3 linked regions of the Oryctolagus cuniculus genome follow. The protein of the gene in region 1 purifies or fractionates together with the protein of each later gene. This does not show direct contact. Links are inferred from orthologs where the notes say so. Each region holds a gene or a part of one and is shown in the gene's direction. Other genes may lie near its edges.

Evidence for each region. Proteins that work in one complex are often made in the same cells at the same time.
Region 2: the proteins of MCRIP2 (region 1) and DDX6 purify together in Homo sapiens (co-immunoprecipitation; 5 studies listed by BioGRID and IntAct, with this or other methods). This does not show direct contact. The link is inferred for Oryctolagus cuniculus from reciprocal best matches to the Homo sapiens genes MCRIP2 and DDX6.
Region 3: the proteins of MCRIP2 (region 1) and ATXN2 purify together in Homo sapiens (co-immunoprecipitation; 3 studies listed by BioGRID and IntAct, with this or other methods). This does not show direct contact. The link is inferred for Oryctolagus cuniculus from reciprocal best matches to the Homo sapiens genes MCRIP2 and ATXN2.

What each region holds. Positions count from the first base shown.
Region 1 is NC_091450.1:34,051,816-34,055,565, reverse strand, and holds the start of MCRIP2 (MAPK regulated corepressor interacting protein 2), read left to right. Parts: upstream 1-939; 5' UTR 940-1,045; coding exon 1,046-1,097; intron 1,098-1,178; coding exon 1,179-1,308; intron 1,309-3,253; coding exon 3,254-3,381; intron 3,382-3,582; coding exon 3,583-3,684; intron 3,685-3,750.
Region 2 is NC_091432.1:111,492,104-111,495,753, forward strand, and holds part of DDX6 (probable ATP-dependent RNA helicase DDX6), read left to right. Parts: intron 1-322; coding exon 323-445; intron 446-924; coding exon 925-1,053; intron 1,054-3,374; coding exon 3,375-3,491; intron 3,492-3,650.
Region 3 is NC_091452.1:8,885,122-8,887,818, reverse strand, and holds part of ATXN2 (ataxin-2), read left to right. Parts: intron 1-1,103; coding exon 1,104-1,249; intron 1,250-2,062; coding exon 2,063-2,290; intron 2,291-2,697. UniProt on the Homo sapiens protein: Involved in EGFR trafficking, acting as negative regulator of endocytic EGFR internalization at the plasma membrane.

The sequences.
Region 1 (3,750 bases):
TGACGCCAGAGCAGCCGGCCAGCCAGGCCCTGGGGGCCTCCGGGGCACCCCTCTGCGGGCAGAAGCCCAGCCCGAGCCCAGCCTCGGCTGGAGGGTCAGGGCACAGATTTTAGACCTGCAAACCCAGCGAGGGCGGTGGGAAACTGGGCCTCCTGCATCTTGGACCTTAACCCTCAGCATGAGCTTCTTCCGGAGAAAAAATAAAATCTCTGTTGATGAGATTGACAGGGGCCGGTGGAGAAGACGCCTTGTCCTCGCTGCCCTCTGCGGGGTGGGGCCTGGACGCCGTCCCTGCTCCCTGCTCCCAGGGTCCCTGGCCTTGGTCCAGTAGGTCGGAGAGAACAGGATGGAGAGCTGACCGGGACAGCCCGGCCACCCTGGGTCCCAGGGAGGCCAGGAGGGAGGAGGAGCAGGTGCAGGTCGGGGGAGGGCTCCTCCTCCAGTCTGGCCACCCCACTGCTTTCCAGGTGTGCAGGTGCCCACAGCAGCCTGAGCGCCCTTGCTGGACCCCACAGACCCTGCACGTTGACAGTGCCCTGGGCTGTCAGCTCTCAGCAGGGGGCCCGAGGCCGCGAGCACGGAACCCCCGGCTGCGGACAGCTGGCGCTGCGGGCCGGGACGGGGGTCTCTGAGCAGCCCCTGCCTGGGAGGGGTGAGGGTACCGGCTCCATCCCAGACCCGGAGGAACGCCCCGCCCGGCCCGGGCCGCCCTCGGGGCTGGCAGGGGCCCGACCACCCACAGCCGAGTCCGGGGGCCGAGCCCGCGGTGGGCTAGGCGGACGGAGTCTCCCCGGCGTCCGCACAGACGCCCGCAGCTCCGCCCCTGGCCACGCCCCCCTTGCCCCCGGCTCTCCGCGAGTGGCCGGAGCCCGCGGGCCCTTTAAGGGCCGGGGGGCGTGGAGCGGACCCGCCCCCTGTCGCCGCGCCGGCCCCGCTTAAAGGGGCCGCGCCCTCTGCGCCCGCCAAGTGCGAGGCAGGCGGCGGGCGCGGGACTGGCCGCTGCGCGTGCGGGCGAGCGCGTGGGCGGCGCGGCGGCCACTCCGCCATGTACACCATCACCAAGGGGCCCAGCAAGCTGGTCGCGCAGCGCCGCACAGGTGCGCCGGGCCGGGGTCCGCGCCGGGCCGGGGTCCGCGCGGGGACCCGCGGCGGCTGACGCGCCCTCCGCTCGCCCGCAGGTCCCTCGCAGCAGCAGGTGGAGAGCAGACTCGGCGAGCTCCTGAAATGCCGGCAGCCCGCGCCGCCGACCCTGCAGCCCCCGCGGGCGCAGCCCTCCGCGCAGCAGCCCGGACCCTGGCCCCTGTCGAGGTGAGCGCAGTCGCGGCCCGGGGTCACCTTGAGCGGAGGCGGGAGGGTCCCTACCACGTGCGAGCACCGCGCGCCGGCGCCCCACTTCCGCCTCACCTGGCCAGGCCGGGGCCCGGGCAGGTGGGCGCACAGCACAGCCTCCTGTCGCGTGAGCTCGGAGGAGGCCGGGCGACCTTGGGCTGCGGCGCCCAGACCCCCTTTGGAGCCGCTGCTGTCAAGGTCTGCGAGCTGCCCGGGCGCGGGCCCTCAAGGTCTCGGACTGCGTCCTTGCGCAGCTGGGCGGGGAGCGGTGCACGTGTTTGCCCCGGGCCTGCCAGGCAGCTGCCCTTCGGCGCCCTTCGCCCGGGACGCCCTGGGCCCCGGGGCGCCCCGTCCCCGCAGCAGAGGCTGAGGCTGCCAAGGGCGCGAGGCCGCCGCGCCCGGGCCGGCTGAACCTTTCCCTTCCTTGGCCCCGTCCCGCGGGCGGTTGGAGTGCTTACTCCCGGCCGCGGCGGACTTTGCTCTGGCCCCGCCCGGGTGGGGGCGCTGCGCAGGGGCCCAGCGGCCCGGGACCCCCTGAGGCAGTGGAGGGCGGGCAAAGGGCGTTCGGGCCCGCACTTGTTCCCGGTAGTCAGATGCCCCGGGCGGGGGCCTCTGTCCTGCTCTCTGGGGAGGCTGCCACACACCACCCAAGCCCGGAGCACTGTGGCCCAGGGCCAGGTGCCCGCCCTCCTGCCCTCCGAGACCCCCTGGCTGGGGAGGGGAAGGGGGGGGTCTGTGGCAGAGTTGGGGGAGGGCCAAGGCCCTCTTGCGCACCTGTTTCCGTAAAGGCCAAACCTGCTGGGCAGGGGTGCCCACCCCCACCAGTGGGCCCCCACGTGCCCCTCCATCCCTTATGGGCCACTCCACACCAGCTCTGCTTTGGCCCCCATCCCGCCTTTCACCCCCCACCCCCCTGCTGACCGGGGACCCGTGGGGCCGCTGCTGGCAGTGGCCGAGGCCGAGTCGGGGCAGCAAAAAGCCGGGACGGGCAGGGTGGGCCCCGTGGTCTCCTGACCCGGGAGAAGTGGCGGCAGCTCCTGTGTGGCCAGGCAGGGACTGGGCCGTGAGGTCCCGACCGTTGCCCCCACCCGCAGACATGACCCGCAAAGCTGCTGGACTCGAGGCGGGCGGGTGGCCTGCCTCGCGGGCCGTGGAGGGGACGCGTGTCCGGGGCGCACACTGGGGCCCGGGCGTCCCCCGCAGGACGGAGCCAGGCCCTCGGTGCAGCTGCTTCCTGCGTCTCCCCGAGCGCCCCGGCCTGCAGCTGGCAATGGGTCGGGGTGGGGGTGCTTTCCGAGTTGAGGACGGAGCTTTATGGCGAACCCCGGCTTCACAGAGCACGCAGGCCGGGGAGCCCCGCCCCCGCCCGGTCTCCCCTGCGGCCCTCAGACCCCTGCCGGCCCCTCAGGACGCTCCTCTTTATTGTAGTGGCCCTCTCAGCTGAGGAGGAAGCCAGAGCAGCGCTGGGGCACCTGAGCCCAGGACGCGAGCAGGACTCCCGGCTCCCACCTCCTGCTGTAGGTGCGGCCCCTCCCCTCGCAGGGCTGAGCTGGCTGCCGCTGGCCGGGGCGGGCCCAGCGGCCCCCTGGATGTCACGAGCTGCCACGCGGGTGGGGGGCCATCTCGCTCCGCGGGGAGTGGGGCCAGGCTGCAGCCACTCTGCCTCTCAGGGGCTGCCCGGTGCCCAGTGCTCAGCCGCCGGGGGGCCTGGGGGCAGCCTGGGAGAGGGACGGACCGACAGAGACCACCCTGCTCCCACGACCCCGAGAAGCTGTGCCGACAGAACCGGGGCCCCTCCCTGGCCTGCATCGCCCACCTCCCTCAGGGCAGGGCCGCAGGTGTGGCCGGAGCCGCGGGGGCTCGGGGCCACCGGACAGTGGCCAACCCACCAGGTGCCGACCACATGCCTCTTCCCCTCCCGCAGTCCGGGGCCCAGGCTGGTGTTCAATCGCGTGAACGGCCGGCGGCCCCACGCCACGTCCCCGTCCCTGGAGGGCACTCAGGAGACCTACACGCTGGCCCACGAGGAGAACGTCCGCTTTGTGTCCGAAGGTAGTGAGGGGGCGGCCTGGGCCCCTGGGGCTCCTCCTGCTGCAACCCGACTCCCACGGCCGCGGGGCAGGCTCGGCTTTGGCAGGCGGCCAGCTCCCTGAACACACTGCTCACTCCCTGTGCCGGGCTGGAGTCCAGGGTGACCCCGGGTGCGAGGGGCTGCCGGGGGGCCTGGCTCGGCTGACTGCCCTACCCCCACAGCCTGGCAGCAGGTGGAGCGGCAGCTGGACGTCGGCCGGGCCGGGGAGCGTGGGCCCAGGCCTGTGCAGTACGTGGAGCGGAGCCCCAACCCACGCCTACAGAGTGAGCCCCTCGCCCTGGGCCCTGGGCCTCCCCGCCCCCTCTGACCCTGACCCCTGCCCACAGGGT
Region 2 (3,650 bases), on another chromosome or scaffold:
AAGGAGATAAGATTTCAACCTAGATAGTTTGACTTCAGAACTTGTACTGTTAACCACTGTACATAACTACCTCTTTAAAGAGAATCACATTAAAATTCTGCCATGGAAAACAGGGTTTAATTGGTCTGGAGTTTTTTTGTAAAAGATGGAGGTTATATAGACTTCTCATCTGAATCACTGGAAGTTTGTTACCATTGAACTTTGTGTCTTGGAGTGAATTTCCTGTTTACAACTAGGAATATTACATGGATGCTTTTATTCGATGTTTATTCTTTGACATTTTTAATTTTTTTTCAAAAAATGTTTTTTCTTTGGTCAACAGGCAGATAAGTTGCTGTCACAGGATTTTGTGCAGATAATGGAGGATATTATTCTCACGCTACCTAAAAACAGGCAGATTTTACTATATTCCGCTACGTTCCCTCTTAGTGTACAAAAATTCATGGTGAGTATAAACTTCTGCAATGTCATCCTTCTGCATGTGACTTTGATTTATCCATAATTACATCTTTTATTGATGTATCTGTATATGCTGATTATTTCAACTTTTTGCCCTTCAGCTGCTCTGTTAAGATTTTGTTGTATGTAAGTTAACATTTTTTTAAAAAGCTATTAATAAGTAGTTGCTTGGTTAAGTTCTTCATGTTTTACCTTGCTTTTCTCAGGCTGACATAGTCATTGATTCTAATAAGTACATTGATTACATTATCCTGTATTCAAAATAGACCATAATAACTTTGCTACATTTCTGAATCTGAGATACCACATCTTGTGGTAATATGTTTCTTCCATGAGACGTGATGTATTCTTGTTTTGAAGAGAGATCCCTTAAAGCAAATGTTTGACAGGAATGTTAGTATATGTTTTGAGTTTAAAAGAAAATCTGCTTTCATTTAAGCATGTCTTTTTTTCTTTATTTTTCAGAATTCCCATTTACAGAAACCCTATGAGATTAACCTGATGGAGGAACTAACTCTGAAGGGAGTAACCCAGTACTACGCATATGTAACTGAGCGCCAAAAAGTACACTGCCTCAACACACTTTTCTCCAGGGTCAGTAGTAGCTTCCCTTTCTGAATGACAGTTGTAGCAATTTTTCTACCATCTTCACTGTAAAGTCTTGTGTTTCCTTACAGTTTCATGTGTTGATCTCAAATTGATACTGTTTGATATAGTACTTTTATTTTAAAATAGCTTGATATTAATACAGTTGGTCCTCATTACTCAAAAATTGTTTGTGAATCTGTCTACTTGCAGATTTTTTTTTTTTTTTAAGATTTATTTATTTACTTGAAAGAGTTACACAGAGAGAGAAGGAGAGCCAGAGAGAGAGGTCTTCCATCCACTGGTTCACTTCCCAAATGGCCACAATGGCTGGAGCTGTGCTGATCTGAAGCCAGGAGCCAGGAACTTCCTCTGGGTCTCATACATGGGGGCAGGGGCCCAAGGACTTGGATCATCTTTCCCAGGCCATAGCAGAGAGCTGGATCAGAAGTGGAGCAGCGGGGACTGGAACCAGCACCCATAAAGGATGCTGGCATTGAAGGCGACGGCTTTACCTGCTACGCCACAGCACTGTCCCCTTTGCAGATTTTTTATAACTTCCAATTCAATACTTGATGCCCTTTCACAATTGTTTGTGGATATTTACAATGTGGCAAAAAAATTGAGTCAGTTGATAACACACATTCTCAGTTAAGGTCTAAAATGGCAGTACTGCTTTTATTTATTTTTACTTATTTATTTATTTGAAAGTCAGAGTTATACAGAGAAGGAGAGGCAGAGAGAGAGAGAGAGAGAAGGTGGGGGGGTCTTCCATCCCACTGGTTCACTCCCCAATTGGCTGCCACGGCCGGAGCTATGCCTGTCCGAAGCCAGGAGCTTCTTCCAGGTCTCCCAAGTGGGTGCGGGGGGTCCAAGGACTTGGGCCATCTTCCACTGTTTTCTCAGGCCATAGCAGAGAGCTGGATCAGAAATGGAGCAGCCAGGACTCAAACCAGCACCATATGGTATGCCAGCACTGTAGGCATTGGCTTTACCTGCTACGCCACCAGCCCCTGCCCTTTTTTTTTTTTTTTTTTTTTTTTTTTTTTTTTTTGAAGGCAGAGTGACAGAGATAGATATCTTCCATCCACTCTCCACTCCCCAAATGGCTAAAACAGCCAGGGGTAGGCCTGCTGGAGTCAGGAGCCAACAATTCCATCTGGATCTCCCACGAGGATAACATGAACCCAGCCACTTGAGCCATCATCCTCTGCCTCCCAAGCATTTTAGCAAGGAGCTGGATTAGAAGTACAGAGTAGTCAGGACTCAAAGTGGTACTCTTACATGGATACAGGCATTGCAAATGGTAGTTTAACCCACCTACCACAATACTTGCTCCAGGCAACACTGCCTTCTGGTTTTAGCTGTCACACTATGAACAGATGTCCTTTTCAGAGTCTGTTTAGTGCCCCATTTTTTATGCTTTTTAAAAGTTGATTATTTCACTGTTTAAAATGACCCTTAACACATAGTGCTAAGGTGTTGCTTGGTATTCCTCAGTCTCAAAATATTGATGTTGGGATGTGCCTTGCAGAGAAAATGTGTGTTAGGTAAGTTTTTTGCAAACATGAGTTATCATGGTATTGGTTTTCAAGTGAATACGAGACATCCTTAAACAGAAATATGTATAAAACAAAGTTACATACTGCTGTATTAATGAAAAAGTTATGATCAGAAGCCTAGTACTGTATTTCCCTAATAGCACTGATTGTATTTTTTCTAAATCAGTGTTTTCAGTGATTTTATAGAAAATGAGTAGTGTGAATAAAAATTGGCTATATCTTGCACATTGGCACTTAATGTGATCCTTGTGAAATACACTGTTCTATAATAAAACAAATTTTCTGCAGCTATTAAGTTGGATAAGAACTTAAAAGTTTCTTTATACCTTTTTCTCTGATGTTATTTGAAGGGCAGAGAGACAGATCTGCTGGTTCACATACCAAATGCCCATAATAGCTGGGGCTGGACCACACCAAAGCTAGGGAGTCCAGAATTCAGTCCAGGTCTCCCATGTGGGTAGGAGGGACCCAAATACTTAAACCTCTTGTTGTCTCCTTAGAGTACACATTAGGAGGACGCTAGGTAGGAGGAACTGAGCTAGGACACTAACCCAGGCACTCTGATACAGGGTGTAGATGTCCCAAGTGGTATCTTAAGTGCTGTACTAAATGCCTGCTCCATATTTACAATTTTTACAACTTCTGTCTCTTGTATTTTGAGATTCTGAATTTTAGACCATGTTATTAACATTTCTTTTTTACTAATCAGTATTTTCAAAACTTGGCAAACCAACTTAAGATTTTTGTTTTTCCTTTTCATCCCTGTAGCTTCAGATAAACCAGTCAATCATTTTCTGTAATTCCTCTCAGAGAGTTGAATTGCTAGCCAAGAAGATTTCTCAACTGGGTTATTCTTGCTTCTATATTCATGCTAAAATGAGGCAGGTGAGTATAAAACTAGAATTTATACAGATTGAACAAAAAGAACTTTCTAAGCATTTCATTATTTTGTTTTAATACTTCTCTAAATGCTCTAAGTATCCCTTATTAGCCAAAGAGCCCTTCTAAAGTAACTCTCTGATGTTCAGTTTTGTAATAGTACAT
Region 3 (2,697 bases), on another chromosome or scaffold:
TCTAGTCCCGGTCAGGGCGCCGGATTCTGTCCTGGTTGCCCCTCTTCCAGGCCAGCTCTCTGCTGTGGCCCAGGAAGGCAGTGGAGGATGGCCCAAGTGCTTGGGCCCTGCACCCCATGGGAGACCAGGAGAAGTACCTGGCTCCTGGCTTCGGATCAGCGCGCTGCGCCAGCTGCAACGCGCCGGCCTTGGTGGCCATTGGAGGGTGAACCAACGGCAAAAGGAAGACCTTTCTCTCTGTCTCTCTCTCTCTCACTGTCCACTCTGCCTGCCCCCCCCCCCAAAAAAAAGTGGAACAGCTGGAACTCCATCCGGTGCCCATGTGGGATACTGGCACTGCAGGTGGTGGCTTTACCCATTATCCCACAGCACAGACCCCATAAACATGTTAATGTGAACTGATCACGTTTTCTTTGAAGTCATTCTAGCCAGTAGAATTCATTCTAAAGGGCTGGAACACTTTGAGGGAAGTTAATTTTTCTGTGTAGGTCAGGTCATTTCATCTAGATTTTTAAAAAGCAGAAGTGGGAAGACTGAGTAGGGCCTGGGGAATGAGCTGAGCGTCAGAGCAGCTCCTGTGATCGACTGAAAGAGATTTGTGGTCATTGGCCCTGGTAGTAGAACCCTGACCTTGCCTCATACTTGATGCAGCCCCTGTAGTCTGTGGCTGCAGGACATTGTGCCAGCTCCAGGGCAGTAGCATGGTGAGGTTAGCCAGATGATGGCCTTGAACTGAAGCGGGAGGGAGTGTGTGTGTGTGTGTGTGTGTGTGTATCTTGCACAGCTGTTTGAGTTATTTCTGCCTATGCTTTTATGTAGCCTTTTCAGGAAAACCTAGTGACTATTTTTAAAGTGAATTAAAAATTGGATTTTATATATATATGTATATACACACAGCTGTTTATTAATCAGTTTGATAATGAATCAGAGACTAGTCTTCTTGTTAAAGTTATTATTTCAAGACAGTGACGGGTGTAAATGGAGCCCGCTGCTGAGACTGGCCGTGGCTTGATAGAGGCTTTGCCGCCAGGGCTGGGCGGGGGGGCCTGGTGAGGAGGGCCACCACGCGCCGGATGCACATGCTCCCTTCTCTTCCACTCTAGTTTCCACGGGCTCCCTTGCTCAGCAGTACGCACATCCTAATGCTACCCTGCACCCACATACTCCACATCCTCAGCCTTCAGCGACACCTACCGGACAGCAGCAGAGTCAGCATGGTGGGAGTCATCCTGCACCCAGTCCTGTTCAGGTAAGGAGCTGCCTGGAGGCCTGCAGAGCCTTGCTGTGTCCAGCACTAGGCGAGGCTTGGCCTGCTCCCTGGTCAGACTGCACGTCCGCCCTCAGGGCTGCAGTGCACAGCTGGGCCCTGGGGTGGGGGACAAGTGGATGGGCTCTGGAAACAGATTGATGTTGGAAAATCTTATTGACAAAATGTTCATAATTTAACATTCCTATTTCCTTTGGACTTTTTTACTTCATTCTAAAAGTTGATGAGATTTTTTTTCTTTAAATTTGATTTATTTGAGAGGCAGAGGCAAGTGAGTTCTTGTCTGCTGGTTCACTCCCACAACAACCATTATCCAGGGCTAAGCTGCAGCTGGGAGTCAGGAACTTAGTGCAGGTCTGCTGTGTGGGTGACAGGAACCCAAGTACTTGAGCCGTCAGTGCTGCCTCTTGTGGTCTGCACTGGCAGGAAGCTGGAGCCAGGGAGCAGGTGCAGGACTCCGACAGGGGTGCTGGCACCTTCGCCAGCAGCTTAGCTGCTGGCTTGAACTGCCCAGACTTGTGTTTTTTTTCCTTGCTGGCTTGGCTTCATCTCTGGCGGAGGTCTTGGCTGACCACTGTTTGGTTGGGAGTTTGTTACTGCCAGACTGAGGACTGGGCTCCTGTGTTCCAGAAAGGGCTGTCTCTAGACAGGAGGCCCCCAGCCCTGCTGTCACTCCCTGTGCCTTCCAGCACCCCTCACGCCAGTTGGGCCCATGTGAAGCCTGTTTTTTTGTAACCTCCAGCTGCTTGGAGTGCATTGGAGTTCTCCTCTCAGTTGTTCGCCATCATTTTGCAGCACCATCAGCACCAGGCCGCCCAAGCTCTCCACCTGGCCAGTCCACAGCAGCAGTCAGCCATCTACCACGCGGGGCTCGCTCCAACCCCCCCTTCCATGACACCTGCCTCCAACACGCAGTCGCCACAGAGCGGTTTCCCAGCAGCACAGCAGACCGTCTTCACGATCCACCCTTCTCACGTCCAGCCGGCGTATACCAACCCAGCCCACATGGCCCACGTACCTCAGGTAAGCCAGCTGTCAGAGCAGGTAGACGGTGAAGGTTATCAGACAAGCAGCGAAGAGCCGCTCGCTCTCCCAGCTAGGAAACCCTGTGTGTGACGCTGTTTGCCTGTTCTCCCTTTTCCCGCTCAAACACACGTGATTTGGCCCTGTATTAATGTATGTGTGGTTTTGTAATGGGCTCAGCAGAGTTGCTAATTGGTCAGTCCTTGAACGTTGCCCACCTGAGACCTTCAGAACATCTTTGACTTTGGAATGCAGCCCACTCTTTTCCTTTCTGTGTCTGCTTTGCTATGTCTCTACAGCTTTATCACTATACATGTGTGTACATACATTTCTTGTCTCCGCGTGCACGCACGCACACACACACACGCAAGCTTGGCAGGGATCATGGACTTCAGACTCAGCCCTCC